2 linked regions of the Drosophila melanogaster genome follow. The protein of the gene in region 2 interacts with the protein of the main gene of each other region in a pairwise test. Each region holds a gene or a part of one and is shown on either strand. Other genes may lie near its edges.

Evidence for each region. The genes of interacting proteins can lie anywhere in the genome.
Region 1: the proteins of CG4496 (region 2) and HLH3B interact in a two-hybrid assay, tested with the Drosophila melanogaster proteins (one large-scale study listed by BioGRID).

Annotation. Positions count from the first base shown.
Region 1 is NC_004354.4:2,679,971-2,683,723, reverse strand, and holds HLH3B (helix loop helix protein 3B), read left to right. Parts: upstream 1-2,000; 5' UTR 2,001-2,065; coding exon 2,066-2,390; intron 2,391-2,487; coding exon 2,488-3,293; 3' UTR 3,294-3,525; downstream 3,526-3,753. Other genes in the region: CG2652 (uncharacterized protein), read left to right, coding at 900-1,607.
Region 2 is NT_033779.5:7,188,000-7,191,752, forward strand, and holds the start of CG4496 (uncharacterized protein), read right to left. Parts: upstream 2,012-3,753; 5' UTR 1,486-2,011; intron 70-1,485; exon of another isoform or gene 1-69. Other genes in the region: CG4497 (uncharacterized protein), read right to left, coding at 3,403-3,753.

The DNA of each region.
Region 1 (3,753 bases), on a different chromosome or scaffold from region 2:
ACGGAGATACAAGCTCAAGTGAAATTACTTCAGCACTTGACTACTTTCTGATGAGATAGATGTCTGTAAAAAAATTATATCAATGTAATGAACAGTTTAAATTAATATCAGAAATATAGTGTCATATTCTCCAAACTAGGTTTCCTTGGGAAGTCTCGTTTAGAGCTGCTCGGTTGGCAACTTATGAAGGAATATAACAGATACGGGGCTCAGATCAGGTGGACTTGAAGCAGACCTTTAAACGAAGTCCTTGGCCTTGGAGCACCTACAGATTGCACTGAATGGTCTCGCTATCCTCAAAATGTCCACATTAGAATTCAGCTGCCCCGCTGAACTGAAGTAACGTCGCTGTGCCCGGAATATTCCCGGCCAAGTAAATGCCCGGGCCGCACCAACCCCAAATTCCTCTGACTTAGCACTTAACTCCGCCCTTCGGAGTCTGCGCATTGCGTACTCCCAAGTCCGCTAACTCTTCCCTAGTCCACCAACAAATTCTGCGTTAATTAATTAGAAAAAATCACAGTTTAAGGCGTGAAAAAATCGGAGATGGCCCGTTGTAGGACGACGAAGGCGTTGAAATTTCAACGCCTTTCGCGAAACTTTTGAAGAACCTTAATCCCAAGTTGGGATTAACATCTGCTTCGAGGGGGAAAACAAGGTAGCAGACATGCAACGGTTATTAGGTAGTATGATAAAATCTATAAAAAATTATATGTACATTAGTTATTACTTTAGTTAAATGCATATCTAGTGGGCTTCTGTTTTTGCTGTCGCTCTCGATTTGAAAAAGCATCACACCAAGCAAACAAGTTAAAGTTGCCTTCAAATTTTCGTAGAAAAATTTTTAGTTAAACATAAATTGAAATTAGTTTTTTTTTTTTTTTTTTTTTTGAATCGTGATGAGCTACACAAATCTCCTGCGCCATCAGAATGTGGTCGATGACTGCCAGCGGGTGAGCTGCAACCGCACTCCGCCGATCACTGTCACCGGGCGCTGTGTGATCAGTCGGGACATCGTGATCGGCTGCCGCATGGAACAGTGCGATCCGGACATGCCCTACATGCTGGAGCCGACGTGGGGCGTCTACCTGCGCCCAGGTCGCGATGGCGGCGACCTGTCGCGGTTCGTGCGGCGCGTCACCTTCAAGATGTCGCCGCGCCTGCCGCTGCGACTGCACGTGGCGGACAGCGCTCCGTTTGAGATTGGCGAGGTACTGGGCAGCGACTTTCCCGTGGAGGTGCAGGTGCAGTATATGGATGCCCGCATGTCGGCCACCTCGTACATCTTCCGGCCGCGCGTGGTGCGCGAGGGTCACGCCGGTATTTGCGAGGAGATGCTCGACAAGATGATATTCGTCAATCCCTCGCCCATGATGAGACAGAATCTAACGCCCGTGCTTGTGCCCAGTGCAAATGGTGCGCCCGGGGACAGGACATCGCCCCAGTTTGCAATGGAGTCCGCCATGCCGGAGACACCGGGTGAGCGAAAGGAACAGGACCGGGATCGGGAGCAGGTGGGCGATGTGGCGCGACCCTCGCAGCCGCCGGCAAAGCAGCCCAAGAAGCGTCTAAGTGTGGGCATACCCCATCCCATCGGTCATCAGTAGTCGTGTATAGATACATTGGGCTCTATGAAAGGAACAACTGAGAATGTTTGTTGTCCTGGCATGTGCAGTTACTGGATTGGCATTGGATACGTTTAAATTACTAAATAAATTATGAATTTCATTTACTTCTAAGACAGCTGCTTATGCTAATATATATTATAGTTTGCTCATACTCGTTTTATGTTTTGGTATCTAATCTAATCAAAAAGTAACAGGCTCGGTAAGAAGTCAGCCCAACATTGGTAACCCAAACGTACATACATATGTATGTACGAGTACGCCCATTTTGTGTGTATGCCTCGTCCGGGGGTGGATGCTGCGCCATTGGCCCCGCCCTCTGTCCATAGGGGGTTGGTTCCCAGACACACAGTGCCAGTTACCCAGTCAGTTGCTCACTTTGCTGCTGCGCTTCGAACGCAACAGAACGCACGTATCCTCTGCTCCGGCGAATCGGAGAGATGGCCTGGCTACCGAGCAGCTCGAACGGAGCGGATAACGCGGACGAACGGAGCACCGCCTCGAGCGGATCCTCCGGCCACAGCCAGACCAACGAGTCACCGCGATCCGGGCACCTGAACGGTAATGGTAGCATGCGGGACACTGCCGCTGGCAGGCATCCGCCCGCCCTGCTCCGACATGCCACGCCCCACCTGCAGCCCAAGACGGAGTCCATATCCGATGGAGACGGTGACGCGGAGCTTTCCGACTTCTCGCTCAACGACACGGAGGAGGACGAGGAGGATCTTCGCGATTACATCGTTCTGAATGGCAACCAGGCGGATGGTGAGGCTTAGTCTTTAAAACTTTAGAGCTCCTAGAACATCCCGTAGTTCCCAATTTCTTATATACATAACGCTCGATTCCTTTGTTCCGCCCGCAGCGAATCGCTCACTGTCCAGTTCGCCGCGCAGTCACTCCCGCAACGGACTGCTGACCGCGCCGGCCAGCTCCGGAAGCTCAGTCGGCGGTAGCGGCGGTGGTGGAGGCAATGGCTCCGGCGGCAATGCATCCAGTGGCGGCGGCAGCGGCGTAGGAGCCACCGGCGGTGTGCGCAAGGTGTTCACCAACACAAGGGAGCGATGGCGCCAGCAGAACGTGTCCGGTGCCTTTGCAGAGCTGCGCAAGCTGGTGCCCACACATCCGCCGGACAAGAAGCTATCGAAGAACGAGATCCTGCGCTCGGCCATTAAGTACATTAAGCTGCTGACGGGCATCCTCGAGTGGCAGCAGCGGCAGGCGCCCTCGCATCCGATCAGGGCTCAAATGGAGCCGAACAACAACGACAATAGGATGGCCAATGGCCATGCGGCGGACGGGGAGAATCTGGAGAATCCAGATGTTCCGCCTGTACGGCACATCAAGTGTGAACGCACCGACGGGCAGATGCACAGGAATGGCATTGGGCACGGACATGCCAACGGAAACGCTGGCAACGACCTGCTGATGATTGCCCCGGGAGCCGTTGTCAAAAGCGAGCTTCTCCTGGAGTCTACACTCCCACTTGGGCATCCGTTAAACGGCCCACCCCTGCCGTTGACCACTGCTCCGCTGGCCATGGCCGAGACTCAGCGAATCAGTGGCACCGTATCCGGTGTAAAATCGGCCAGCGGACGGAGTAGCAAGCGACGCCTCAAGCCGGAAGGCGGAGCCACCGATCTCAGTCTGGGCAAACGGCGCAGGACGTAGAATAAGGAATCTAATGGATGGAATCTTGGAAAAAGTGGATACCGGCTTTGCCAAAGCATTCGGAGATAGTATACTATCCCCGATTTGCTATTTTTTTTATCTACCAATAAATTACAAAGTTAATAGTGCAAATTGCAGATGCAGAATCAATAGTTATAGTTTGTATTGTTTATTCAAATTTCATTCTAAATAATTTACGGTTTAAAATAAAAAGCAAATTCGACAAATCATTAAAAAAAAAAACTTGCAACTGTGAATTGAATTTCCAATCGAACGAAATCAGTAAGCAAGTAACATAAATCATAAAATTAGGATGGTGAGCCAATCTAAAAAAAAAACATCTAAAATCCAAAAATCTAATAAATTTGCCACAAATTGTGTAATTATACTAATTTTTTTTTTATAGCAATAAAAATAGTTGTCAAAAAGTGGAATGTCATACCTCGTTGAATTCGTAACA
Region 2 (3,753 bases):
CCCTCTCTCACACTTTACAAAGCTTCGCTCCTTTCTTTCGTTTTTTATCCGCAATTTGTGCGCTCGGCGCTGCGTCTGCCGTGCGAAGAAGTGAAGAAGAAACTGGATTCGCGATTCGCGATTTGCGGCTTGCCGAGCAGCAACCTCTCGGCAAAAACAACAAAACGCCGCAAAAGTCGAGCTTCGAGTTGACGCCGACTGCGCTGCCCGGCTTGTGAATCAGCGAAGCGAGCAGAGCAGCAGCAGCAACAACAACAACAACCATGTGGGCAGCGCTTAAGGCTTTTTTTTTGTGTGCACGAACGTGAGCCTTTAGCCCCCCTTTCCCACCACTGCCCATTGGCGTGTTAACTTGATTTTTCTTGGGGCCACGCAAGAGCGAAACACGAAAAACAAAGAAAATGCCCCACAACAACAACAAGGGCAACAACAAAAACAATGCAATTACAGCCGGAGCAACAGGCGCAGCAGCAACAACAACTCACGATTTTCAAGATTGCTCACAAGAGCAGGGGCGTAGGCAGGACATGAGAAGGGGTGAGGTTACCAGGAGTGAAAGGAATTCCTTACTATATATACTTGTATATAACAACGATCTAATCTTCAATGAAATGCCAAAAAAAAGATAATTTGCTTTTTGTTAAATAGGAACGATAATGTAGGATTAAAAATTTAAAGTATTTATTGTGGTTGGGGCAAATAACCCCCTTCGACGCAAATGCTTACGCCCGTGCAGAGAGGCGAAAAGAGAGCTGGAGAGTGATATCAAGGGGGAGGTGGGCGAGAGAGTGGGCGAGTGGGAGTACGGAAGCATGGCGAGAGCGCGGTGGGAGGGGGTAGAGGAGCAACGAAAAGGGAGCAGCGTGACCAAAGCGTAAAAGGCAACAACAACGGCGTAGCCAGCGCCAACGCCGCTGTCAACGTCAACGTCGACGTCGAAAAAAAATTTATTGACGTCCGAGCAGCAGCGCTAAAGTAAAACCGTGCGCCTTCAACTTTTTTTATTCGCATTTGCTTTTCTTCTTATTTTTAGCTTTTTGTTGTTGGTTTCCTTTTTATGCAAGTATATACATATGTACCTTCGTACATATGTACATATATCTAAGTAATTGACTTTAATTATTGGCCGCTTCTTTGGTTATTTTCCATTTTCAGGGCGATCTTCGGTAAAATGCCCATAAATGCCTGAAAACCCGCGATCGTTTTTTATGGAGTGTTAAAAAATGGCTTGCAGGTGAAAAATTACTAATATTCGCGTTTTGTTTAGTATAAGCCTTTACGATAAGCCATATACGACAAATTTGACTAGTTTTCGATTTTGAAAACGTAAACATGTTTCTCATCCTTCATCCTGTGATTTAAATAATTATTAAATTCAAATAAAATTAAATAAATTTAAAGCATTCAGCAATTAAGAGATAATCTTATACATACATACATATTCTAAATAACTAACCATATTTAAACAGGAAGAGACAAACTCACCTTTATATTTTTTCGCATCCGACTTATATAATCACTTTTGAGTCACTTTTGGCTGCCTAGGATAGCGTGTTTTCTTCTAATTTGTATTCCATTGGCGTGGGTAGTGGGGTTCTGCCCCTGTGATATATGGAGCCAGGTTCCCAGATCCGCTTCGAATGCTTTGGGCTAGGCTCCCGATTGCTTTGGTCTCTCGGTCTCGAAATATTGGCGATCGTGACTGCAGCGCTTAGTTATCTTATTTTGTTGTTTTTTTTTTTTTTTTTTTTTTGCTATAAAACTCGTTTGTATCGGATCCCCTCACACGTCCACAGACACCCACTCGACTTGGTCCGTGTGGAAACGGCCTGGTTTATCGGTCTCGGTCGGTCTCGGTCCCTGGCTTCTATCTTCTGGTCTGCGGGATTGGTTCGTCCGTGTTCAAGGCACGAGCATCTGGCCATGTGCATTGTGTCCTATCTGTGTGGGGAAACCAGTATGTCGCTGTTTGCGAATGGGGATTGGGGATTTGGGGAGCAATGCTCGGCTTCTCATTACCCAGGTGTTCGAACTTTTCGGTGCGTGTGTGTGCATATCGTGTATGTGGATACTTACTCGAGCTTGCAGGTGCTTCATGTGGCTGGCACGATATTACGCTGGGCGACGTTATTCTAGGCATACTCATAAAAGTTGTATATATAATAATATAAATTATACCTGCTTTTAATATTTATAAAGTAATGAATGCTATGGCCGTAGGAATTGTGCATTTTCTATCTGAAATATACTCATTTTGAATAGGCACTTTCTTGCTTTAGGTTTAGTATCTTATGTACATAAAATATGGTCAAGTTCACTGCCCGCGAGATACTTTTTACTTAAGTCGCTATTTATAATCTAGTTAACATATTTATTTAATTATTTATATAGTAGTTAATTGTTTAAGCCAACCAATGAAAACAAACAATTTGATCAATTGAAAAAATGTGTATTTCTTTTTGGATCCTTTTTAAGTATAACTTTTTTTCTTGAAACTATGTAAATTCGCTTACGATAATTAGAATCGGATCGTAAATCTATATAATATATGCGTTACTATATCAGTAAGGTTTTTGTGGGATACGCGCAGATATCCGCGCTAAATTGGATCACATTATAGGCAATATAATGCTGGATATATTATTACACATAAGCATAGAATAAACATATTTGGCAAAATTGGGGTTTTCTTCCTAATATCTAAGGGGTGAGGTGGCGACTAAAAACAAAACTAATGTACGTCGATTATTAACCGAAACATTGGAAATGGGAAAACATTCTATAACACAAAGATCGAGGCAATAAACTCTGGCTATATATAGTATAGTGAACCTTAGGCTAACATATTAAAACCGATTGATTCTAGGGGTGAAGGGAAGTGCGCAGCGTTAAATGATATGCAAGATGGTTTAGAACTTCAGACAAACAACTTAACTATGTACAACAAAGCTACGATCTAAAGTTAAGCAAGTCGGAGGATCTTTTGAAACTCTCAACTTAAGCGTGTGTGTGTAATTGGTTATTTCGGGTCGATTTTCTTAAACAAAAATCAAAGTACCACTAATTTATCTTTTGTCTCTTCCACGAAGATTTGTTTTGAACACTACGGGAAATATACATTTTAAACCATTTTTAATCCTTTACATATTACACCAAAGGTATTCTTAATTCAATTTTCTTTCTAAAAAAATATTGCTTGTGGTTTTTATAACAAAACCTTTGGTTGAGTTTTAGAACTTAAAAATGATCAAGCTATGCAATTTTATTCGAAAATATTTTCTAAAGCATTCAAAACAAATCAGCTAAAGTGCAGCAATGATTAACTTTTGGCTCCTGAGATTATAAGCATTTCTTAGAATTTCCTAAAATCGACCCCTAAACTAAGTTAATCTGTGTATGTTCTTAAAGCTTTTGCGGCACATCTTTGCTGACGGCTCCCGTTCGCTCGTGATTGACCACAAACTTCTTGGCGCCCGACAATCCCTGCTTGTTAATGTAGAAGCTCTTTTGGGCCAGCGGCGAACCACCGCCATCGGAATCAACCACCAGGCGATTCAGGAAAGTGGCAGCCGTCTTGGCACCACTATCGCAGGAGGATGACTCTATGCTAATGGTGGAGCATCCACCGATCGATGAGGTCTCACTTTTGGCATCGTCCATCAGAGTGGCATCATCCACCAGGTCGTTGACCAGCACCTGCGTACTGGACGATGCGGTGGACACTATGGAAGAGGTGCGACTGCGGCAGGAGTG